Linked DNA regions of Mus musculus: all the other regions are reported to be linked to region 5. Evidence: microRNA targets listed by miRTarBase, many of them from high-throughput screens and not tested one by one. Region 5 holds a microRNA gene; each other region holds the end of a gene's coding sequence.

What was found. Region 5 holds the annotated microRNA mmu-miR-9-5p (UCUUUGGUUAUCUAGCUGUAUGA, at 1,993-2,015, shown strand). A microRNA usually pairs through its seed, bases 2 to 8, with sites in the 3' UTR of a target mRNA and lowers its output. Matches are read on the target gene's strand: a 7mer-m8 pairs with bases 2 to 8, a 7mer-A1 pairs with bases 2 to 7 and ends in A, and an 8mer does both.
Region 1: miRTarBase lists Ptch1 as a target of mmu-miR-9-5p. Seed matches in the 3' UTR shown: 7mer-A1 at 1,281-1,287.
Region 2: miRTarBase lists Psme4 as a target of mmu-miR-9-5p. The part of its 3' UTR that is shown has no 7-base or 8-base seed match.
Region 3: miRTarBase lists Ptcd1 as a target of mmu-miR-9-5p. Seed matches in the 3' UTR shown: 7mer-A1 at 779-785.
Region 4: the mRNA of Gzf1 is a reported target of mmu-miR-9-5p. Seed matches in the 3' UTR shown: 8mer at 3,343-3,350.

What each region holds. Positions count from the first base shown.
Region 1 is chr13:63,507,236-63,512,366 of GRCm38, reverse strand. It overlaps Ptch1 (patched 1), which reads left to right. Exons shown (of 24, transcript NM_008957.3): 23 at 292-835; 24 at 1,255-4,039. The coding sequence ends at 834. Among named protein-coding and RNA genes, the nearest start is that of Ptch1, 56 kb to the left of the region's middle.
Region 2 is chr11:30,877,832-30,882,831 of GRCm38, forward strand. Psme4 (proteasome (prosome, macropain) activator subunit 4) reads left to right here. Exons shown (of 47, transcript NM_134013.3): 46 at 548-686; 47 at 1,833-2,530. The coding sequence ends at 682. It also overlaps a transcript of Erlec1 not described here. Among named protein-coding and RNA genes, the nearest start is that of Gpr75, 5.0 kb to the right of the region's middle.
Region 3 is chr5:145,143,565-145,148,695 of GRCm38, reverse strand. It overlaps Ptcd1 (pentatricopeptide repeat domain 1), which reads left to right. Exons shown (of 9, transcript NM_133735.2): 9 at 191-1,318. The coding sequence ends at 364. Bud31 (BUD31 homolog) reads right to left here. Exons shown (of 6, transcript NM_001310771.1): 4 at 3,675-3,797; 5 at 2,087-2,253; 6 at 618-861. The coding sequence ends at 811. Among named protein-coding and RNA genes, the nearest start is that of Bud31, 5.8 kb to the right of the region's middle.
Region 4 is chr2:148,689,979-148,695,109 of GRCm38, reverse strand. Gzf1 (GDNF-inducible zinc finger protein 1) reads right to left here. Exons shown (of 6, transcript NM_028986.3): 5 at 4,877-5,034; 6 at 2,161-4,403. The coding sequence ends at 4,062. It overlaps Napb (N-ethylmaleimide sensitive fusion protein attachment protein beta), which reads left to right. Exons shown (of 11, transcript NM_019632.3): 11 at 1-453. It also overlaps the pseudogene LOC108168731. Among named protein-coding and RNA genes, the nearest start is that of Gzf1, 11 kb to the right of the region's middle.
Region 5 is chr7:79,503,287-79,508,417 of GRCm38, forward strand. Mir9-3 (microRNA 9-3) reads left to right here and starts at 1,978; the gene lies at 1,978-2,067. The region is part of intron 1 of Mir9-3hg (Mir9-3 host gene); the gene reads left to right. It overlaps Gm51285 (predicted gene, 51285), which reads right to left and starts at 2,050; the gene lies at 1,993-2,050.

The DNA of each region.
Region 1 (5,131 bases), not on the chromosome of region 5:
AGGAGCCTTATACTTCTAAAAGCTACTATTTATGGTTGCATATTTCCAAGACACCCAGGCTCTTGGCTATCCAGGCCTTGGCAGTTTTGAGGCAGAGAACTTAGGCCTGGGGGCAGTTGGTTGTGAGGGTAAGTTGAGATCTATGGGCAGTGGCTATATGCCTCCAGCCAGCTGTGCAGGTGCAGGCAGGATTCACATCCTGGAGGTTTCTAAAGGAATAGGTTTTCTTTTGTGGGTGGAACATCACCACCATCCTACCTCCCTGTGTTGACCTATGTCTCTCCTCTGCAGGTGGTCCATCCGGACTCCAGACATCAGCCTCCCTTGACCCCTCGGCAACAGCCCCACCTGGACTCTGGCTCCTTGTCCCCTGGACGGCAAGGCCAGCAGCCTCGAAGGGATCCCCCTAGAGAAGGCTTGCGGCCACCCCCCTACAGACCGCGCAGAGACGCTTTTGAAATTTCTACTGAAGGGCATTCTGGCCCTAGCAATAGGGACCGCTCAGGGCCCCGTGGGGCCCGTTCTCACAACCCTCGGAACCCAACGTCCACCGCCATGGGCAGCTCTGTGCCCAGCTACTGCCAGCCCATCACCACTGTGACGGCTTCTGCTTCGGTGACTGTTGCTGTGCATCCCCCGCCTGGACCTGGGCGCAACCCCCGAGGGGGGCCCTGTCCAGGCTATGAGAGCTACCCTGAGACTGATCACGGGGTATTTGAGGATCCTCATGTGCCTTTTCATGTCAGGTGTGAGAGGAGGGACTCAAAGGTGGAGGTCATAGAGCTACAGGACGTGGAATGTGAGGAGAGGCCGTGGGGGAGCAGCTCCAACTGAGGTGTGTGCCAGAGGTATCCCCGTGGTGCTTCCAAGGGCCATCTGAGCGGTGGCCCAAACTAGACCCTGGGGGACCTTTTATTCCCAAGGCAAAGCTGACGAGGCCAAACTCATCCTTAGAGTAACAATACCGTTCTAAACTGGATCTCCCCCCCCCCCCACCCTGCTATTAATCCCTTAGAATGCCAGTTTAATAGTTTAACCTTGTACCTGTTTGCTGGGCACTTACAGCAGAGTTCTAACAACCATGCAGATGACTTTACAGGGTGGGGAAAAAAATGATGAAATGAGTTTAGCACCCCAGTCAGAGTTTCAGGGCTCTCAGCTGCCCACTGGGAGTAAAGAGCTGTGCTGTGTAAGGCTCACAGTTCAGTGTGGTAGTGACCATAATGTGACCTCCTTTTTTGTTCTCTTTTAAAGGGTAATTAAAATCTGAAGCAAAGAGGCCAAAGATTGGAAAGCCCCGCCCCCACCTCTTTCCAGAACTGCTTGAAGAGAACTGCTTGGAATTATGGGAAGGCAGTTCATTGTTACTGTAACTGATTGTATTATTTTGTGAAATATTTCTATAAATATTTAAAAGGTGTACACATGTAATATACATGGAAATGCTGTACAGTCTATTTCCTGGGGCCTCTCCACTCCTGCCCCAGAGTGGGGAGACCACAGGGGCCCTTTCCCCTGTGTACATTGGTCTCTGTGCCACAACCAAGCTTAACTTAGTTTTAAAAAAAATCTCCCAGCATATGTCGCTGCTGCTTAAATATTGTATAATTTACTTGTATAATTCTATGCAAATATTGCTTATGTAATAGGATTATTTGTAAAGGTTTCTGTTTAAAATATTTTAAATTTGCATATCACAACCCTGTGGTAGGATGAATTGTTACTGTTAACTTTTGAACACGCTATGCGTGGTAATTGTTTAACGAGCAGACATGAAGAAAACAGGTTAATCCCAGTGGCTTCTCTAGGGGTAGTTGTATATGGTTCGCATGGGTGGATGTGTGTGTGCATGTGACTTTCCAATGTACTGTATTGTGGTTTGTTGTTGTTGTTGCTGTTGTTGTTCATTTTTGTGTTTTTTGTTGCTTTGTATGATCTTAGCTCTGGCCTAGGTGGGCTGGGAAGGTCCAGGTCTTTTTCTGTCGTGATGCTGGTGGAAAGGTGACCCCAATCATCTGTCCTATTCTCTGGGACTATTCAAGAGAAGCCAGATTTGCTTCATGCCTGTGTGTGGCAGCTTCTGAGGTCATGGGTAGCCCTCCAAGCACCTCTGCTTGGGTTTCAAAGAGAAGATGTTCTCACAAACATTGTGCTGCCTATTAGGGCCTCTATATAGTCAGCAGTCAGCACTAGTGGTGAAAGATTGGACAATGTTGCCTGATGGTGAGACTCAGCCGGGTCATGAGATTACCCTCTAGGGGTGTGTGGTTGTTCCTTTCTGATGATCACACATACACACAGCCTCCCACCCCCATACTCCAGATACAGGCCCAAAAAAACCTATTTCACTGAAGGTCTATATTCGAGCCTTTACAAATGATAGTCCCTCCCTTGCTATGACTGCCTGGTTGGAGCAGGCTAGGCTAATCGTGGTTCAGTCAACTGTGTGGGGAGAGTTTCTAAGGACTCTTTTCCACACGGTCTTTTCCTGTGTATACTTTCTTCTCTTCCCCACTGTTAGCATCCATCCAGTGTGATGTCTGTGAAAGCAGGAAGATGCCACCTCGTAAAAGCATATAGGGTAAGCTCTTTGAACCAGGTGTTGGGCTTTAGAGTTTGATTGTGTTCTCCTTCCCCAAGGTTTGGGTTTCTTTGTCTCTGGTCAGCAACTAGTAGATAGGGAAGGAAATGCCCTTATTCCTTGCAAGTGAACATTGAGGACTTGTCTCAGAGGAAGGAAGCCTAGTGCTCATGGAAGCTGTTGTGAGGAATGTACTCTGTCTGCATGCAGCTTCCCTGAATCCCTCCTATCCTTCATGGAAAAATTTAAGGAGATGGGTCCCTAGTAGTACCAATAATCTAGTGCCCTCAGATCCTAAAATTTATCCCCCAAATTGTAAGGTACTAATTGGAAGCCACCTGTGACTACCGTGTGTGTGTGTGTCTGTGTCTGTCTGTATATCCGTGTGCGCGTGCGCGCCAGAAGCCCTGGCCATCCACTGCTACTGTCTTAATGCCTGTCAAGCCACTGTCTGCCTACCCAACACCAGCTCTGCTCGGATATCTTGCACCCTGAGTTGAGGAGGGAGATGTAGAGTGCGGAAGCCACCTTGGCTGTGGTTCTTGATTGTGTCCCTCATGCCTGAGCCTTGTGCATGTGGCAGAAGGAAGTTTGTACAGCCTCTCGGCTTCTGTGCATCATCATGAGTCCCATCAGCCAAGGCAGGAAGGACACAGAGCTGGCAGGAGACTAAAGTCAGAGAGTGTGTGTCTCTGTCTGTCTCTCTCATAGTTTTATTTTGTCTGTATTGTTTGTTCATTTGGATGTTTTAATTTGTAAAAGAAAAGATCTTTGCTGATATTTATAATTTTGTATCATAAGAATGTCCTCCAGAATTTGTCATGCCAGTTTATAACAAGAAGAAAAAATTGCAGGGATTTTATTTCTATTGGAAACACTTATTGCAGTTATGTTTTACTTTTGAACAGAAGTTTTATTTGTATAGAGTGCTTACTAATGTTAAATAGTTCAGAGTATATAACATTTACATTAAGGACTCATGGTAGGTTTTAGTGTAAGGAGTTTAAAGGAAATAAATATTCAAACTGGGTCTCGTCTGCCAATTTGGGTGGAAATGAGTTTGTGTCACTTCAATTACAAAGATGAAAGTATGCCATATAATTTATTTATATGAAAATTTATTTTTGTAGTGTACATAGTAGTCATCAAGTCTTTCGACAGAAGTATATTTTTAAAGAATTTATATGTGATGAAATCCATAATGTCTGGAACTTTGCTGAGACATGGGTGTGAGGACACGTTTCGTTATAAATGACAGCAAGGGAGAGAAGAGAGTATGTTTTAACAGTGTTAGGAGAGTACACGTGAGCAGTGATCCATGTGATTGGAAAGTATCGGTGTGAACATGGTGACCTAGTGCGGTTCTCAGATGAAAATGTACAAAACTCTCTAAATATTAATGTTCAAACACTGATAGAAATTCTAACATGAATAAAGATAATATAACTTGTTGGTTTATGTGCTTGTTTCTAGAATGTTTCTTAAACTACATATACACAAGAAGTTCCAGGCCGTCTGTTCGTTTCTTCTTGCTGGCCTTACGGAAGCTGTTTTATGTGTATTTTGTGGACACTGGGGAAGTCACCTAATGACTCTTCTGAGCGTTCCCTTTTCTTACCTTTCTATGTAGGCACGCGGGAAGTGAATACAGCCAAATTCAGTGTAAACACAAGTGACCCCTGCAAAGGTCAATCAGTGGTTGGTTAGGAGTGACAGTTACTCTTACAGAGAGCCACTCAGAACTGTTGCCTCACGCTCCAGGGGATCTGATGCCCTCTTCTGGCCTCTACTGGCACCTGCATACACGTGCACACCCCACACACAGACACACAAAGAGACACTGACTTAAAGTTGAGAAGTTTTTTAAATACAATAGCATCACCATAGTTGAGAAGTTTTTTTAAATACAATAGCATCACCATAGCTGATGACATAGCACTAACTGACCTGGTACAGCTGATGATGGAGTGCTCACTGGCCTGCTACAAGGTGATTTTTTTAAAAAGGGTTCAGTGATGTGATTTCATCATAACCTCATCATACATGAGGAAAACATGAGTAGAGATTAACACCCGTTTCTCCTGATCACCTGTTTTTGTGATTGTAAATATATGCTCCAGAAGACCTGGAAGCTCAAACCATTCTAAGCGCGTGTCCTAGAGGGAGGATCAGCCAGTTGTAGCCAAGACTACCTCCTGGTTTTGTGTGGATTTGTCAGGAGACAGCCATATCTGTCTATACGCACCATTCATGACTGTTTTCACGCTATAGTGGCAGAATTGTGTGGTGTGCAATAGTGATTGACTGACCTGCAGACTGTTGAAATACTTGCTCTCTGGTCTTCAGGAAGAAATCTGCCAGGTCCTCTTAAGGCAAGGAAGTGTTGGGCCATTGCTACTCAAGTGTGGTCCTTCAGTCAGCATGCCTTAGAAGCATGCTAGAAAACCCAGAGTCCAGTGGTACTGAGAGTCAGGGTTCTGTGGGAGAGAAACCCAGGAGTGTGCTCTTAAGAGTAGGAACAATTTGTAAATTCCTCCAGGCTAATGTGGC
Region 2 (5,000 bases), not on the chromosome of region 5:
CTCTGATATGGTCAAGTTTACTCTATAATTATTAAAACCAGAGACATTTCTCTCATGTACAACAAAATAAAATTCTGTATCTTCTATTCTTTCAAACCCAGCATAAAGAGTACTTACAGCATTAGCTAGAAAGTTAGGTTTCTTGCTACTACTATTATTATGGCATTTTGTGTCTGGAAAGTCTCATCTCACTGAAAGCTAATATTAAAGTAGAAATAGTAGTTGTATTATTTATTAGTAAGCACCCAAGCTCTTACGCAAAACAGGTCACCTTCGTAGATGTATGTATATATATATATATACATATATATATATATTGAACTGGTCTAGCAATGTGACAATATATTACAGTTGTTTGTCCTGAAATTAAACTAGTAATTTTATAGAATATAAATATATATATAATATTCGTGGTTTAGTGACAGAAAATTGACTTGGTTTTCTAACATTGTGAGAGCTGAGGTCTAGGTGGATACTAGTGTAACTGAAGATAACCCACATGTAACTCTGGTTGTTAGAGGTTAAAATGTATATGGGTCAATTACAGATGACTGTAAAGAAGACCTTATCCAATTTCCGAAGGACACATCATGACAACTGGCAAGAACACAAGCAGCAGTTCACTGATGACCAGCTGCTTGTCCTCACTGACCTCCTTGTGTCACCATGCTATTATGCATAGAGGGGTGAGTTACATGGGTCTTTCCCAGCATGTGTCGTCCTACCAGTAGCCAAGGAAATACCTACAAGATTTTAAGGTTTGCTAACATTTTAGATGTAACTGCTTAGATAAAGTGAAGAGAGTTCTTTGTTTTGACTTTTGGAGACAGGGACAGCTATGTAGACCAGGCTAGCCGTGCATTTGAGATTCCCCTACCATAGTCTCATGAACACTAGGATTGCAGCTATGTGTCACCACACTTGAATGCTTTTAAACATGACTTTTGAGGTAGGGGGTAGATAGTTTAGAGGAAGAGCCCAAATTTAGCAAAGATGAGACCCTAATTCGATTTCCAGTGCTGAGGTAAACAAACATGGTAGCCTGTGCCTGTACCCTCAGAGGATTTTGTTGGGTTGATTGTAAATACAGCTTTGTCTGTGGTCAGTGGAAATAACTATTATAGAATTTTTCTTGATTTTTGTTTCCATTGTTAGGGAGGCAATTTATGTGACTGTATTGGGACAGTTAGAAAATAAGTAACTTGCATCAGTAGCCTGGGATAGTCAGGTGAAAGAAAAGAAGTTGGGGTTGTACTAGGAACTCTGGTTTCTACAATCATGAGAACACTTCATCTGGATGTTTTTAAATGTGTATGAATCTTCGACTTGTATTTGTGTATATTCACATGAGCATGCCGTCCGTGCCTTTGGCGGCCAGAAGAGGGAACTGAGTTATAGATAGTTGTAAGCCTCCCTGTGGCTGCTGGGAACAGATACATATGCTCTTAACTGCTAAGCCATCTCTCTGTCTCATCATCTGGATTCTTTTGTTCATTTGTTTATTTGGTTTTTGTTTTGTTAATTTTCAGATAGAGTTTTTATCTCTATGTAGCCCTGGGTAGCCTAGAAATCACTATGTTGAACAGGTGGCCTCAGAGCTCTTTCTGCCTCCACCCCTCCCCTTTCTCAAATGCTAGTATTAAAGGCATTCCCTACCATGCACAACTCATCTAAATTCCTAAGTGCTTATTACATTTCTGTAAAAACAGAGGGCCAGAAAGTCTTTGTATAGACAAAGGTAAGGAGAATAAACACAATCTGTTTGGTGGGATTTTAGAACTGAGTGTTTTGATAATCTGACATAATTTTTTGTTTTATTTTTCTTAATGCAGATGACTAGTCCTCATTCTGGGCTCATTTCATCAAAAACTCCAGATCCTCAGGTATCATCCGTGGTGACTCTGCAAGTTTCACAACTCAGCTTCTCTTGAGCTTTCATCATTTTGGTGGCTTCTCTGTTTGGCCTCATTAGTCTTCGCTCACAGGTTCTCAGCTGCCATTTGATTTCCTAACTTGTTCTGAAGTGTTCCCTGAGTACTGATCACTTTTTCTTTTGAGACATATGACAAAGTCACAAAGTCTCAGACTAGAAGTAGCCTAGTACTATCATGGTATTATGACCAAACAGTCTCGAACGTTGTTAAAAACAACAATGTCCTCGGAATGGAGAATGCTCATCAATTATGTAGGTTCTCTCATTTCATTCATCTCACGTTATTTTGAGTTCTTCCCCAAAGGCTGTTGAGTTTAGCATTAGTAGGGCCATGGGTCATGAATCTGAAGTTTTGACCGCCTTGTGTCTAGAGAGCCATGAAGAGAAAAGGATCAAAGGGGGCAAAGTCTCAGAGTTAACCTAGAACCTGACACGCTCAACCACACTGCAGATGTCTGTATCTCCACAGACTGGAGTTTTTGGTGCTGAGTAAGAGCCAATTGCTGAAAAACTGGGGGTTTGGTGAATAAATTTTAGACTGATTTGTATGTGTATACAATGTGTGATTTTAAAAATAAAAAAGAACATCAATAAACACCATGGCTGATTGTTTTTTACCCTGTAGTCCATACAAATATTGTTTTACACCCCACCTTGAAATACATTACACTTCAAATGAGTGGAAGATTGCAGTTTTTGATCTCTCTCCCTCTTCTTCTCCCTTTCTGTCTCCCTCTCCCCCCCCTTTTTCACTCTCTTTCCCTCTCCCCCTCTCTCCCCTCTACCTGTATGCCTGCCTACAGAATCACTAATATTAATAAGTCTTGATATTTGACTTGTTTAGTATGTTATGTAGATGTAAAAGATTGTACAATAAACTGTAGAGATAACACTGACAAGATTTTGTACAGATGCAACCCTTAACGCAGACCATTGTGTGACTTGTTTTTTTGGTGTATGTTTTTAAGTTATATTCTTTATCTTCTCGTGTTACAAAAGCTGAAACATAGGTTTTAGGTTTTTTTAAATTTATTTACTAGAATATCTGGATTTTTATGTACCTTTTTTGTGTGCATTTTTAAATGATAACATGTTTGCCTATCACAACTTTATAGAGTGCAAGTTATCTTCTAGTTGGAATAATTCACAAGTTGATAAATGTCATCTTTTAACACACTCTTTACAATCTTCCTTAAAGGAATACTACAGTCATTTTTTAGTATCTCTATGCCGAGTGTCTCAATATACACATACAGTAGTGGGCTTGTTACAGTACTGAAGTGTCGCCATACCCAGGCATAATCCCCGTACAGAATAGTACCTAATGAATAGTCAATTCAACTGTGTAACTAGTTTTAAAAACCGAATAAAATGGACTGTTTTTAATACCTGACTTTTATCTGAAGAGAAGACAGTTCAGTTGGGAGCAACTTTTGTGGGTTCTTTTTGCCTTCTTAGATTTAGATCTGTGACTTTCTTCCCACTTAGAATGAATTGTGGCCAGAATGAATGATCTAATTCTGCTCTGTTGAGTGCAGTAGCCAGGCTCACTAGGTGTGCTTTAAGTGGTAATTAGCCATGTATGATTAGTGATTATTACATTTAATGGTACAGTAGAACTTCTCTGTCATCACACAAAGTTCTGTAAAAACAAAACAAGGAGGCAAATGGTGGTGCACACCGTTAGTTCCAGCACGGGGGAGGCAGAGGCAGATCGATCTCCGAGTTGGAGGCCAGCCTAGTCTACAGAGTTGACTACTAGGACAGCCAGGACTACATAGCCTTTGTCTCAGAAGGGGAATAAGGTTTGGTAGCACAAACCCCATAACTGATTTCTCAAGGCCACTGCTTGAGTAAGACTGTACTGCCCACCTCAGCTTTTCTTTTTCTTTTTTTTTTTTTCCTATCTTTTGCTTGCTTGCTTTCTTCCTTCCTTCCTTCCTTCCTTCCTTCCTTCCTTCCTTCCTTCCTTCCTTCTTTCTTTTCTTTTCTTTTCTTTTCTTTTCTTTTCTTTTCTTTTCTTTTCTTTTCTTTTCTTTTCTTTTCTTTCCTTTCCTTTCCTTTCCTTTCCTTTCCTTTCCTTTCCTTTCCTTTCCTTTCCTTTCCTTTCCTTTCCTTTCCTTTCCTTTCCTTTCATTAGTTTTGTTAGGGAAATTGAGAGAAAGAACTCCCAAGGGAAGAATACTCCAGCTATTTCTAACTAAACTATATAAAGCTATACTTTAACAGTGATTCTTAAGTGGGAGCTTATAAATAAAGTAATTGGTAGTCAGTGTGGCCCTTAATTAAGATTCTCTGGATAGGATTCAGCTTCACCAACATCTTTTTTTTTTCTTCTTTTACTGTATTTATTTATTTACTTATTTTTAAATAATTAATTTATTTACTTTATTTTTCAGAGGCTAAAGCTAAATACAAAAGCAATGCTATCAGATTTCATAGTTCCTTTTTTAAAAAATATTTTATTAGGTATTTTCCTCATTTACATTTCCAATGCTATCCCAAAAGTCCCCCATACCCTCCCCCCAACTCCCCTACCCACCCACTCCCACTTTTTGGCCCTGGCATTCCCCCGTACTGGGGCATATAAAGTTTGCAAGTCCAATAGGCCTCTCTTTCCAGTGATGGCCGACTAGGCCATCTTTTGATACATATGCAGCTAGAGTCAAGAGCTCCGGGGTACTGGTTAGTTCATATTGTTGTTCCACCTATAGGGTTGCAGACCCCTTTAGCTCCTTGGGTACTTTCTCTAGCTCCTCCATTGGGGGCCCTGTGATCCATCCAATAGCTGACTGTGAGCATCCACTTCTGTGTATGCTAGGTCCCAGCATAGTCTCACAAGAGAGCTATATCTGGGTCCTTTCAACAAAATCTTGCTAGTGTATGCAATGGTGTCAGAGTTTGGAGGCTGATTATGGGATGGATCCCCGAGTATGGCAGTCTCTAGATGATCCATTCTTTCATCTCAGCTCCAAACTTTGTCTCTGTAACTCCTTCCATGGGTGTTTTGTACCCAATTCTAAGAAGGGGCAAAGTGTCCACACTTTGGTTTTCGTTCTTCTTGAGT
Region 3 (5,131 bases), not on the chromosome of region 5:
AGTGGTCAGCTGCTGTGACTTGGGATAATTTTGGGTGATATGCAGTAGCTTAGATTGGCTGAAAACATTTCTGAAAGCTCTGCTTTCTTAGCATATCCTGTGTTCATTGTACAAAGCTATGGGTTTCACAGTGAGGCTTCTGTGCCTGTATCTCACTCACACTGACAGTCCTGTGCATCTCTAATTATAGTACAAAGGAAAAAACACCTACTTGGAGAAGATTGATGGCTTTCGGGCTTATTACAAGCAGTGGTTGAAAGCCATGCCAGCAGAGGAAGCCCCCCACCCCTGGCAGGAGTTCCAGAACAAGCCTGTTGGGGACCAAGACACCACTGACAAGGCTGGCGGCCTTAGGGACGGATGACGGAGCACGCGGCTATGACAAGTGCCCAGCCTTCACACTGCTGGGGGAGCCTGGGAGTCCTTTCAACTTCAGAGGCCAAGAATATTCCAGAGGCACCACAGCACTTTACAGGCAAATGCTGGGCTCAGGGTGCCCAGATCATAGCAGGTCCCACACCAGGCCAAAGCATCCTGACAACGATCATGGTCACACAGCATCTACAACACAGAGCCAGGACTAAGCCCATCCCCTGGCACTCTTAAAAGAAAGAATGTAGCGAGGAGGTCTAAAGGTTTTATTTTTACAGATCTCAGCTGGTGAACACTAAAGTCGTCACCTGTACAGCTCATGCTTCCCCCCCTGGGTCTTTTCTCTGAGCACCACTCTGAGAAGAGTTGCTTCAGGCAGTGGCCCAATAAGTCTTAAGTCCAAGGTCCAAAGACCAGGATGCAGAGGAGTCAAGGGTGTCAGCCAGAGCAACCCCGGCAGCCACAGTGTGTGCACTCGATGATGCGACCCTGAAACAGAAGAAGAACATTTGAACACACTGCTACAGCCCTGCACACTCCCTTGCAGAGCATCTCTACTGGACACTTCTACTTGGGCGTCTCAGCTCCTTTGTGACGTGGAACAGTTACTACCAGGCGGAAGTTAGTGTCTGTGTGTGATTGCTGTAACAAGACACACTTGTCACTGCCAAGAGGGCGAAAGCCAGAGTTCCTGAGGCCACTGGGTGGGGATGGGGGTCCTGGAGCAATGCTGTCTTTACCTCCTTTTCTGGAGGCCACGAGCCCATTCTAAACAAATAAAGTTCTCTGGTAACGTTCTGTTAGTTTTAACTGAGTGCGTCTCATATATAGGATGACCCTAATTTTCTGGTCCTGCCAACAGCTGCTGAATGCTAGAATGACAGATGTACACTTGCACATCTGGCTCTATGGGGCACTGGAGATGGAACCTAGGGCTTCTAGGGCTTCACGCATTCTAGGGGGCCATCTACCACCTCAGGCAACATTCCAGCCCTGAATCTCAGTTAAACCTCAACCACAGGCTGGGACACCAAGAGCTTCTTGGGAAGCAGCTATTGCCCACGAGCCATGGCTCAGCACATCATACAGAGCTCCACCCTTGATACCGAGGACAGAGCTACCTGCTGAGCTGAGGCCATCTGCACTCAATGAAAACTCTGGGAATTAAGACTTGCTTCAGTGTACTGAGAGGACACAAAGTCAAAGGATGGACTGTCTGTTCTGACCTCCGTCTGGCTCTCCATTTCAATGATGTGGAGACTGGAGCCCAGCTACTGCTTGTGGGTGCCTGGCCTGCCCTTGAAAGCACTTTTTCTTCTGAAGCAGGACCTCAGTACTAGCCCAGGCTGGCCTCCACCTCCCAAGTCCTGGCTATGGAACAAAGCAGAAGGCATGCAGAGATGAATGTGCCTGTGAGACTCGAGGGATAGATAGGTCACCTGACAGCCAGCCTCAAAGCATAGCCCTCCTGTCACTTGAGAGCCACTGCCATCACTACTCCCTAAGGAGTGAGGTCTGCTGCAGTTACTCGCCCACTGACAGTACTGAGACCAGCCCCAGATACCACCTTAAAAGGATCCCTGGTCAGGACTCACTTTTGAGAAGGGTGGCTAGAAGGGTTCTAGTGATGAAACTACTTCTCAAAATACCCTCATGGTCAACTAAGACAAAGTTTTAAACAGAAAGTAACCCCCATCCAACCGCTGGGCATTACCACTTCCAGCTTGCTTTTGGGAACCCGGCAAATGCAGTTGGTGCCAAAGTTGGTGTCCCGAGTCTGAATGCAGCGTAGGCAGCATAGGTTCTCATAGCCCTGCTTCTTCCACTTTGCAATCAGGTTTTTGTCTGCATAGCCTTCTTTAATGCAGTATTCATAGAGTTCTGTCAGAAAGTTGGGGACAGACATCAGAACATGGCGTAACAAACCTGCCTTCACCTTGGACTGAAAGGAAAAGTTAGGCTGAGTATGACGGCATGAGCCTTTGATCCCAGCACTTGGGAGACAGAGGCAGAACAATCTCTAGTTCGAGGTCAGGCTGATCTATAAATTGAGTTCTAGAACAACTATGACTACATAAACCCTGTCTCAAAAAACAAAACTTAAAAACAGCAACAAAAGCCAATAATCCCAGAAATGAGCAGAGGCAGGTAGGGCATTGTGAGTGTGAGGTCAGTCTGTATATAATAAATTCCATGTCAGCCCGGGCTACAGAGTGTAGCCTTATTTCAAAAATAACAACACCAACACACACAAATGACTTCAGCTTTCATGGTAAGAAAACTGATGACTGATGGGTTTGCAAAGATAATCATTGCTTTAATTTCCATTTCTGGAGCCACGATCTCCCACTACTGCTGTGGATTTCCCTAGTGCTATTTGTATTTTGATGCTAATTCTGTTTCCCCAAGAGGGCTGCCTGGGACGTGGAGTGAATCATTACTCGGGTGACTTCATGTGAGCCTTCTCCCCATTTTAACTTGTAAAATAAAGACTAGAGCCGGTGATTGGGCAGTGGAGGGGAAGTGGAGCTAAAAAATTTTGGGGGGAGAGGGAAAAAAAAGTGAGGGGGAGAAAGAGGAGAGGAAGGAGAGAGGAACACTGAAGTGGAGGACGAGGTAGAAGGAAAATGGAGCAGCAGCACGTGGCCAAGAGAAATCACAAGTTAAGAGGGATCTCATAGCTGTAGCAGTGTAGGAGTAGATCTGCCCAGTCTAGGCACGAAGCTTGTATTCGTATTGAGTTGTGTTTTCCTTGCATGGGCTTATTTGGGTTGGAGATTTACCACAACACATTACAGTCAAGGGTTAGCTGGAACTCCCTAGTCCTCTGCCTCTGCTTCCCAAGTGTGTAAGTATAGGTCTGAACCATGACACTTGGCTTTTGTTCCCTTTCTTTTCTCTCATCCTCCTCTTCCTCGTCTTCTAGTTTTTTAAGACAAGGGTTCCTGTGTAGTCCTGACTGTCCTGGAAGTAGGACACATAGAGATCAGCCTGCCTCTGCCTCCTGAGTGCTAAGATTAAAGGCATGTGCCACCAGACCCAGCTTTTTATAAACTACTGTATAAATCCTGAAAGCCACTCAAGTACAAAAGAGCCAAGAGGCAAGATGGCCCAGGGACCAAGAATGCTTTCTAGATAGGTCTAATGACCTGAATTGGATCCCCCAGACCCACATGGCAAAGAGAACCAAAACTGCAGGTTGTCCTACAACCTTCACACGGAAGTCAAAACACATGCTTGCCTCCATAAGTATGGACACACAGTAACAGTTTTTTTAAAGGTCAAGAAATTTAGCCATTTACCTCTGCTTATGGCTTTCCTCTTGTAAAAGAGGTCGAAGATATAGCGGGTTTTCTGGTGATGGATCCTGAAGATGGGCCACAGAGATTCCACTTTCCTCTTTCCCTCATGGGGTTCAGTTTCAGCTGGGAAGAAAAAAAGCATGTATGTGTTCTGGAGCTAGTCATTCTACAGAGGATGTAGCATGTTTGCTTAACTATAGCTATGACTATTTTATATCCATGCAGATAGTAATGCAAATAATGAACAATTAAAAGGGCCAACAAGGGGGCTGGTGAGATGGCTCAGTGGGTAAGAGCACCCGACTGCTCTTCCGAAGGTCCAGAGTTCAAATCCCAGCAACCACATGGTGGCTCACAACCATCTGTAATGAGATCCGATGCCCTCTTCTGGTGTGTCTGAAGACAGCTACAGTGTACTTACATATAATAAATAATAAATCAATCTTTAAGAAAATGCTGACAAGAACTGGCGTCCTCAAGCCCTTCTAGCAGAACGCAGACTGGTGTAGGAAATGTCAGGCAGCTCCCCAAGAGCTTAGTTACTGTGAGTCTAGGAATACATCAGAGACCTGGAAATAGACTTTTCACTCCACATTCTGATTTCCTTTATTTTTAGAGTTATGTCAAGAAATCTCTTGGCCCATAGCAACTCTGTAGGTTCTGGGTATTTCAGAGACAGTCTAGCACAATCAGTTGAGAAAAGAGAAAACCAAGTTAACACTGGCTTAATAATTATTGCTGCAGGTATGACCTCATAATAGTAATGATCAGATTAGCTATAAACAGGTATTCCAAAGATTGTTGTGAACAGACATTCAGGGGGAGCTGAAGAGAAGATTCAGTGGTTCTTACAGAGAACCCAGGTTCTATTCCTAGCACTCAGGTGGCAGCTCATAACTCACTCCAGTCCCAGGGAGCCAACATCCTTTTGGTCTTTCTAAATACTAGACACAAACAGCACACATGAGGCAAAACACTCAAGCCTATTTCTTAAAAAAAATTTCAGGGGGCCCATGGGATACATCAGTGGGTAGGGGTGCTTGCTCCCAAAGCAGACGAGAGTCTGATCCCTGGAACCAACAGGAGAGAACTGACTTCTCTAAGTTGTTCTCTACCCCTCCACACTAACTCTGTAGTACTACCCTGCCTAACACACATACAAATACCAATTTAAGTAGTCATACAGGAAGATGGCTTTTAAAGTTATCATCTTGCCAGATGAAATCACCTAAGGGAGCCCCACTTGAAGAGTGACCTAAGTCATATTGGCCTGATTGAGGTAGAAAGGCCAACTCTGAATATGGTCATCATTCAGACGCTGGAGGTGTAAGGCCAGAACTGGCTAAGGGTGAACAAAGCGAGTTGGCTGAACTTCTGTATTAAGCAAACAGCATGTGTTCATTGATCTCTCTCTCCTGAAGTTTGGTATCTCTCGTTTTATGTATGTATGTGCACTA
Region 4 (5,131 bases), not on the chromosome of region 5:
CATTTAAAGTGAGACCCACATGGTGTCTTACGGGGCACTGTGGTTTACCTTTCATCATGGCTCCCTAACACACCTCCATGAAGAAGTGTTGGGTTGTTAAAGTAGTGTTTGGATTACTTTGCTGCTTGTAAAGAAACTTACTCACTTATTTGCTTTTCCTGAAGTTAAATGCTGGGCCAGGCATCATGAACACTTGTAATCCCGCAGTATCTACAAGGTGAAGGGAGGAGGATTGCTGTGAGGTTGAGGCCAGCCTGGACTCCCTAGTGAATTCCAGGCCAGCCTAAGTTAATGTGAGACTCCATCTATCTCAAAAAACCAACCAACCAACCAACCAAAAAAAAAAAAGGACTGAAAGGCTGAGGTGAGTCCCTGTTGAGTTTATTTTGTCTCAGCACTTGGGAGGCTGAGGCAAGAGGAACGTGATTCCAGACTAAGCTAAGTCAGACCATCTAAAAAAAAAAAAAATACAAAGAACACACTTTTGGCAGAAGATAAAAGAATGAGGACCATGTCCGGACAGGAGTATGCAAGCTTACTCCCTTCAAATGTCCCGCAGACACAGAGCAATGCATTCTCTCAAGATGTCCAGGCTTTAGGCTTTCATGGTCTCTAGAATATTGTGACCAAAACGCAACGATTGTTATAGTTCTCATATTTGAGTGCATCTGGAGATAATTCATAGTTATGGCAGTTAATATTTCTTACAGAAAAGTTTTCCTTTTGTGGCAACATTTTTATAGCTTGTGTGAATTCCTTTTTTTTTTTTTAATGACATAAAACAGTATTTTTGCACAGTTGTAACCATGTGTGATGGTGTCACTATAACCAAAGTATATGCACCAGCCCTTGTGCATTTATTGTTCCCTCTGGTATTGTGCACTTAAAATGTCCAAATTCAAACCTCTGTAACTGTGGAGAATCTGGCAGCAGCACAGCATGCCCGTGACCTGCCTGCTACAGTGTGAGCTGTGACCAGTAAGCAGGCACTGTAAAGTCCTAAGTTGCTCTCAGGCAAGGGAGTCCATTACAAAAACAAATCGTGTAACAATAAATCTATCTTAGCTAAAAGAACGTTTGTTTTATGTGAACCTGTACAGTAAATAAAGTGGAAGTTATCGGTAACCTTTTGACTGTTTTTTTGGCTAGTGAAATTGACTCAGGTCAGAACTAGTTTCTCCCCCTGAAGCTTACAGCACTACTTTTGCTAGGGGCTTTGTGCCAGACTCACCTGACGGTTCTGCTGGCAGCGGTTTAGAAGTTAGAGTGGTGTAACATTTAACAAGTTAAAAGTTGTGACTGGAGGCAAAGCTTGGTGACCAAGAGGACTGGCTCCTCTTCTGGAGGACCCTGGTTGACTTCTAGCAGTGCATGGTGGCTCACAGCTGTAACTCCAGTTCCAGGGGAATTAATCCCTCCTTAGGCACCAAGCATGCATGCTGTACACAGACATAGAAACATGCAGTGGAAAGTCCCATGCACATAAAATCTTTAGAAAGTTAAATTATAATCTACACTTCTGATTAGATAATCCCCAACAGCAAAAATCTAACGGTTCAAATTCCTGGCCCGTTTTTTAAAACTGCTACAGAAAGCCTTGATAAAACCAAAGGCTATAGAGCTCTCCCGTGTTTGAACTATGTTGTGACATAGAATGGTTGTAATGGCACCAGGTCGCCTCTTCAGTAACCCTTATGGATGCTCTGAGAGTAATATGCTGTCAGAGCACATTTGGGACAAATTCACTAAAGGCAGGTCTTGCTTTCTCACAGCATAAAACTATTTAGATTAGAAGTACGTGAGGCACCACAAAGTGGTGTAACTCTAGGGCCTATGTCCCTAAAGCTCACCTCCCCTATTGGGAAGAGATAAGATGGATATAGCCAAGTGTTCACTGATGCCTGCTGCGAGCCCTTATGCTATACGCGGCCCAGATCAAAACTGACCACTGCTGAGCAGAGGCCATTCTCCTGTGTGTGCCACTGTTGATTTCAGGAATGTAAGTCAGTCATCTGTGGTGACTATAAATAGAAGACCCTGACTTGAAGTTTTAATGTTCATGCTATTAAACAAATTAGACTAAAAGAGTCTATTTCTTTAGATCCTACCTTAAGTTATAATGTAAATAAATTTAGAAGGACTTTTACAAAGCAGACATTATTAGCACATTAAACAATTTTATTTAGAACTTCTAAAGAAACAAATTCAAGACAGTTCTTCCAATAGGTAACAAAATAATCTATTGTTTAAATTCCTTCTCATCAAGATGACTTTATTCCATAACACAGTACATCAGCTGGGCAGGTTTTCTCTTACCAGATAAAATGGTCATATGCCAATCACTAGTCTTTTTGTCTGTTTTTGTCTGTAAACACAACTAGATTGCCAGGTCATAACCGAATGTGAAATAATTCAGCCCTGAACTTTCAAGAGCAAGTGGGAAACATTACCAGCACCTGGAACCCCTTTTGGTGGCCTCGCCAGCTCCTGAGGGTAGTACCACAAAGTGATCACTGAGTGAGAACTCTCAGTTTCTATCATTGTGTGATCTATCTTCACCCTGAACATTAGGAGTCATTCCCTTAGAAACCAGAGTGTTTTCACAGCAAGTTTAGTAAAAGCAGAGAGGAAAGGCAACCAGAAAGCATAAGAATTCCCCCTTTAAGGCCCTCTTAAAATTAATGCTTAAGGGTCACAGGTGGCACAGGGTCCACATACCCATCCATGGCCCTGCAACCATGTATCAGGGATAGCAAGTACCATAAAATGCATTTTTCATAGGAAATTTGTTGAACAATTACTAAATTCAGCATGAGAAAGCCAAAGGAACATTTGAAACAACATCCCTGGTTCCTTATGATCCGCTTGTTAAGGCATAGAAGTTGAGCATACCAAGGCTTCTGGTCCCCTCTAGTTCAAGGGTTCTCAGCCTTCCTAATGCTGGGACCCTTTTATACAGTTCCTCATGTTGTGGTGACTCCCAGCCATACAGTTATTTCCATTGCTACTTCATAACTAATTTTGCTACTGTTAAGAATCATAATTAAATATCCTGGATTGTCTGATAGCTTAGGGCAACCTCTGAAAGGGTCATTGAGAGCCACTGCTCTAGAGTCTTGCATTCTTCTAGAGGTGAATTTGTAGCAGTTACTAGTTTGTGTCATCTTCCCCTGTGAAAATGGGGGTTTGGGGAGCTCTGGACATTATAAAAAAGCCTGGCAAAATAGTCAAGATTTGCCAGGCTCACTCATCATGCTGTTTGTGAAAATGTACCTAGCTAAATGCTCTGACACCTAGGCTTTATTTCTCACACTTCTGTAGAGAGACAACTGTCTGCTGGATTCTTTGGTAGGACAGCTTTGACTTAATCTGATTTAGGGAACAAAATTCAACAGCTCATCCCAAATTGGATGTTATGACAGACTCCTTACCTGTACACATGCTAAGGTACTACCCTGAACATGTTCCACCCGCCATTCATCTTTTCGTGCCTACAAAAGGGGGTTGGAGAGAAACGAACGGAATCATCTACTTCTTCAACCCCATTCTAGGGTTCCCAGAATAAATCTTATTTGCTTTTATCTCAGGAAGAATCAGCTAAAAATAAGTGGCCCCAGTTCTACTTTAACCCTGTAGAAAAACGCCCTAAAGGGACCAGAGTGAAGTAAACACACATGGAAGCATAAGGCAGGGCGAGACCAGGAGACCACGAACAGCACTTTCCCAAGCTGGGTCAATGCTGTGTACTCTATGATTAAGACAAGCAGTGGTTTAGACGTCAAGAGAATCAAGCATTAGTGTGATTGACATGTACGGCTACACCAGGGTTAAATGAGCTATGCTAACTGCCGTGTTTGCTGATGAAATGTAGCTGAGATCATGCAGATCAGAATGTTAACAGAATGTTCAAGTGTGAAAGAGACGTGCAAGGTCATGGAAGTCTGAAGAAACCTGCAAGGCCAGTCTTGCCTACATTTTTGCACAGACAACTTTTCCTCAGCCCCTGGCATCACCTGGAATACAGCAATTACACAGACTGCTTGGCACACAACTTCAAGTTCTCACTCCATATTGGTCAAGGAGGGAAGGTGTGCAGGCATGGAAACTGCCTGTGGGGTGAGCTCACCAAGGGCACTGATGGAAGTGGTAAGCAGAGCGTCCTGAGACACCACTGCTTTGCAAGCAGCGCCTGTAGAGCTGTTCTCCTGCACGGCAGGCACATTGCCTTGGACTTCCAGTAAGTTGTTGAAATGGCTATTTTCACCAAAAGATAGTAATCGATCTGAAAGTTTGGGTGATGCATATTCATCATCGGGTTGTTCTGTCTTATGCCCTTCATCATTCTTGGGTGAGCCATCTACAATGACAAGGAAAGACTTCCACGGCGTATTCTTATCATGTATCTACAAATAAAACAAAATAAGAGTCACTGCACGTGTAGCTACGTTTCCCAGTTTACAGATATTTACTAATGCATGCAAATTTTAAAACAATAGGCTCTCTTTAGGGCCAGACACTGGCACACAACCACTCAAAAAAACCCCATAACCCTAGCACATGGAAGGCAGAGATGGAAGGTCATAAGTCCAAGAACAGCCTGGAAAACAGAGCTGGACTGTTTATCGATCAAAAGGTTAATATTAAAAAATAAACAAAAGATCTCCCTGGCTTTTAAATCTGTGCACTAATTACCAAGTATCTGCCCTGTTCAGCAGCTACTGCTTGCAAGTGTTTACCATAGGCTTGGCCATAGGGGTCCTTCACCTTATTGGCTAGATGTCACTTCAGGACACCCAAAGAGAGAACCTGCTACCACCTCTGACCCTTTGGACTGACCAGAAGGGCTTTGTTTTCAAGCAGGCTACTCATCACTTACTGAGGTATGCCTCCGGAGAGTAGACTTGTCAGTAAAAGTCCGTCCACATGCATTGCACATGTATGGCTTCTCCCCAGTGTGGATGCGATGGTGGCGCTGGAGGGCATTTACCTGGGTGAACTGCTTCCCACACTGGTCACAACAATAAGGCCGCTCTCCTGAACAAAGAAAGAAGGAAACTACTCAATGGCATCTTCAGTCTCCTTTTAACTCTGGATACACATCTGTGCACCCTGGCTACTCTGAAGACTCAGC
Region 5 (5,131 bases):
GGGACACCTCCTAATTATGAAAAATCCTTTAGAATTAACCAGGCAGGCCCAAATTCGAGGTTCCTTCCTGGGCCTTGCTGTCGGTAGGTCGGCCCCTCTGTTTCTCTGATGCTTTTCAGTCTAGCCTGTGTCCTTTTTCTGAGACAAGGATTTGTCTGTGAGGTGGCATTTGGAAAGAGGTGTGTAACTGCTAGCTGGCTTGCTCACTGGCTGACAGGGATGGCAGTGGGGATGCAGCCCACCTTGGATTTGGGGTCAAGATAAAAAATAGGACGAATCTAAAACAAGCACGGGGTACAGAGGTGTGGTGCCAAAGCCTGGTATTAAACAAAAAAAATCCAGATGTGTCATTTAAGGGAGACTGCTTTAGATACCTTTAGAAAAATTCCCTGATCCCTTCCAAATCACCCACTTTGGGCCTATTCTTTGAACCCAGCCTTATGGGATTTGCTGATGGAGAGTGTGTAAGGGGTGCCCCCCCCCCCGCCTCACCAAAACAGATCTGAATGAGTACCCCCACCAAATCTGGGCTGCTTTGGGGATGCCTTAGCACAGAGAGTCTTTGGGACTCCCTCATAGTCACTGCTGGAATCCTGGAACCCGCTACCCCCCACCCCCACTCTATTGTTAAGTCAATCTCTAGATCTTGGATTTAAGATCTTTCTAGGGATGACTGGGGGGGGGGGAAGGAGATATCGAATTTTTCATATTTAATCCTTTGCCTCCCAGGAATGGGTGAAGGGGGTGAATCAGGGCTCATAGTGGGAGGGGTGTACAGGAGCAAGGAAGACAGGATGGGTTTCAGGTGAGCAACCTCTAAACCACCACGTTTAGGAGACTGAGACGGGACTTCAGTTTGGTGGCCAGGCTCAATTCTACTGTGAAACCTCAAAATGTCAATTCTTTTGCCCTGTAAAGTCACTTGGAGTAAGTGGGCTAGGGTGTGCTGTGAGCAGAAAGATGGCAGGAGCTGATTATTTTTATGGGAGGTGAATAGGAGCCCAATTACGGCCTTGGATATCTTTAAGGCGCAGGGGCACAATTGATTACATATCCTTGGCTGTACTAGGAATGGTCAGAGGGAAAGGGCTAACAATCTGGTGCCGACATTTAGGACCTGGTTTGAGCGAAGCATGCCATGGGAATCCCTACAAGTCAGGCAATATATATGGGATACATTGATCTAGACACCCACTCCTTCCCTTAATCCCCAGTCTCTACCGCGGTGTCTGTACAGTGCTGGGCAAGAAAAAAAAGGAAGAGAGACCTTAAGGATAAAGTGACCGGTTCGCAGCCTCTCCTGCGCTCACTTGGTTGCCTTGGAGAGACCTCGACCTTAAACCTCTTCCCTCAAACTCTAACTCTGGTGGTCTGCGGTGGCTGCCAGGCACCTAAGACGTTGCTGGGAGGTCAGAGAGGTTTGAGAGAAAGGCCAGACTGTGTGCATCCAAGCAAGCAGGCCTAAGGCTTCTGAGGGCAGAAGAGGCGCTCCCCTGTCCTCGCGGCGCAGAAGCCGTGAACGCCGAGGCCATTGTAAGGCTGGGTGGTGCCGAGCGCGGGAAGGGGGCTGGGATTTGAATGGAAGCCCGTGATAGGCCGATCCCCCGACTGACGTCACTTCCCCGCGGGGCGATTAGCCTGCGAGAGGAGGGCTGATGGTCCAGTGCGCTGGGGGCCGCCAGGGCGCCCGAGGCTGCCCAAGCGCAGAGCGCCGGTTACCCGAGTGCGCCCCGGGACGGCGTCGAAGCGGGCCGCGCACGCACTGGACGGGGAACTGGGGATGGAGAAATCGCGAGGGCGAGGGAGGAAGGGAGCTGGGCGATCCGGGTGGCGGGAGTCCGTGTGTCTGTGTGTCTGTCGGTCCCCTCTGGCTCTCCGCGTGCGCCCGGGGCTGCGGGAGCGGAGTCCGCTCAGGCCCCCGCGCCGGGTCGGCGGCGGCACGTGGGGCCCACAGCGCGGCAGCGGTGCCGGCGAATGGGAGGCCCGTTTCTCTCTTTGGTTATCTAGCTGTATGAGTGCCACAGAGCCGTCATAAAGCTAGATAACCGAAAGTAGAAATGACTCTCACAACTTCTGCGTGCGATGGCCCGGCCGGCCGCCCTGGCCACAGGAGCCAGAGGAGCCCAGAGAAGCCCACGCCACCCAGGGATTCCAGCTCGACGGAGCGGCCACGCCGGGACCAGGTATCCGACCTCGGCTCTCCTGGGGACACTTGCCGTGTCCTGGAGGCATTCCCTTCACCTCCTCCTCGGTCCCTGCACCCCCATCACCATTTCCCAGCGCCGAGGCTGGAACCCCGAAGTGGAGTGGGTTGGGGGCAGGGAACGGGCTGGGGTTGCAGAGGGGTCGCTGGCGGGGAAGGCGCCAGCCTTTGCCTTCACCCCATAAATCAGGCTAGAACAATCCACGCCCTGAGCTGCAGACTAGGATTTTGGGATGCAAATGCGATGAGAAAGAGAACGGAGAGAGGAAGGGAGAGAGGAAGGGAGAGAGAGAGGAAGGGGGAGAGAGAGAGAGAGAGAGAGAGAGAGAGAGAGAGAGAGAGAGAGAGAGAGAGAGGAGAGAGAGAGAGAGACCGGTAGGCAGTGTGTAGGGGGAGTAAAAGGGTGGGCAGGGGGCTGCCCTGCCGCTAACAATGCAGCCTTTATCGAATTATTCGACGAGTCAGCCCCTGAGCACCATTAGCATACGGCTGGGGGGTTGCTGGAGCTTCGCCCCTCGGTGAGGTCAAGTTCTTGATAATTTGATCACTTTTCACCGGCTCTGGCAGCTGCCTTTGTGTGCAGTTGGGGGGTCTGTGTGCAGCGTGAAGCGGAGCAGAACTGGCGGGGAGTGTACTCAATGGCAAGGGGCCTAGGCGGGGGGCCTCCCGCCCCGACCGACCGGCCCTGCCCTGCATACAAACCAAGAGCAGGCTGCTGGGCGGGAGAGACGTAGCCCAGATCCTCTAAACCTCTATAGTTCTGGTCGGACGGCTGGGGCCGGAGCCTCCCCAACTTCCCCAACTGGTTAAGGGGGAAGCCAGGCTCTCTGGAGCTCCTCTCCTTCCCGCCCCAATAAATGGCAACATAAGATGTATTACAATGTCTAGCAAATAAAAAAGCAATTGGGGGAAAAAATCTGAATTCCGTTCCCATGGCAACCCAATGCTGCACACCGGCCACTCAAGCTCCAGGTCCCTCTTAGCTGGGCGCTGCGAGTGGGGCGTGCCAATGTTCTGTGTCCGTGGTTCTTAGCCCCACAAGGAGCGGAAGGTCCCTTTGAGGTTTCTCTGCCTTCAGGTCCCTCTCCTTCCTGCCACTCCCTTTACTCTTTCCTTATCTTGAAGTTTGGGGCCCCCTGCAACTTAGGAAACCATTAGGGCTCCCGCGTGGTGGATGTAGACCCAGCTATGGACCCTATCAAGTGTAGGGAAGAAAGGATCCAAAGTCAGTTCACATACCTTAAGGCTTGGGGTCTTTTGGGGTTCTTTAAGGCACATATCAGTGTATACATGCTTTAGCAGATTGACTGGGAAGGATTAGTGCTACCATCCTGACTTGACCCGCTTTCTTTTCCTTGAACATATTAAGGAAGCAGATCTGGGGGGTGAGGGCCTACTCCTTAGGGAGTAGCACACACAGCGCAGAAGTGCAGAGGTGGGCACTACCTAGGTCACCTTACCTCCATCTTGGCCCAGTTCAATCCCAAGAGCCTCTTGCCTTAGTTATTTATAAGATTGGTCTCTCAGCCTCTATCCAGAACCTGCCCAGCCCCCTTGTGATAATAGAAATCTTTTTCCATCTTTGTGCCTACCAGCCGTTCCTCCCCCCCCCCCACACCCTTTGCTTAGCAAAATTATCTTAACAACAAAAAGGTGACTTGTGTAAAAGTAAAAATAAATTCAGTGATACAAAGGAGAACCTCCTGGGTCTGGGGAGGGGCAAGGTGTGGCTTCCATACGGTAGATGGAGAGTTTTTCACTGCATTGCCTTGGAATGTTAGACAAAATTAAACGCGGTGGCAGGAAAGCAGCTGTCTCTGTGCCTCCTTCTCAGGGACTCATTGGGTGGAAGGAAGGGGTTCGAGGTCCTTTCATCTTTTCCTTCCCGTTTCTTAGGCCTGTGAAGGGTCACTCGCGTGTTTGAGGACCCAGGAGCCTCCCTCCCCCCAACTGCATCTACTGGGCTTGCTCCCCCTTCCTGGTGCACCTGGGAGCCTGTGTGCTGGTGGTGACCTCATTTCTGAGGAAAGCAGAGCAGCTCTCTCAGCCTGCTTGCCCAGCACTCCCTGCCTCCACGTCTCACGGATGGGCTGGGGCTTCCCCAGAGCCTGCCCCGGTACTCAGAGCCTTCTCTTCCCTGGCCCCTCTCCTTTGCTATTTTTGTAAGAGCCAGTCCTTCCTACACCAAGGTGGTCACATAGCTTCACGACTGTGTCTTAGGTGTAGTTCAAATGTGTGTCGCCTTTGGTTCTTTTGCCGTCCAGGCAGGCTGGAGTCCCCCCATTAGGAGTCCCATGGAGGTAGAGTCCTAGCCTGAGACAGTGCAGGACTTTTACTGCTTTCTATGAAGGGGGAAATCTGCTGATACAAACCTTGCACTTTAGGGAAAAGATGAGGGCCTCAAGGGAGGAGGTGGTGGTGGTGGTGATGGAATGGGTCTGCTGATTCTGATTCACAGAGTTTATCTCACACCCACCACAAAAGGTTTTCAGGGGTGCCAGCCCATCCATTTTATCCTAACAGAGAGATGTTCAAATCCCACCCAGGACCCTTGGAGCCCGAGACACAGGCTTAAAATTGTGTTCCTTATCAACCTCCCTAGCTAGCCTATGGCTTCCTTGGGGAGCTTGGAGGGTCCTCAGCCTTTGCTCCCCCCCACCCATCCTGTCCCATTTGTTGAGCGTTCTCTGGCCTGACTGCCCAAGTTTGGGTTACACTGCTCCAACTTGCACTAACTAGTCTCTTTCTATAAGAAAAGGCTTGTGGGTCCTGAAAGCGCCGGCTGAAAGTACAGTTGGAAGCCTAAATTGGTTGAGATCTCAAAGATGTCAACACCTTTCATTTTACAACTAGAAACGCGGAGCATGTCGCAGAAGGTCACACGGTAGGCCACTTGGCAGGTCAGGGTTGAGAACAGCCCTCGTTGAG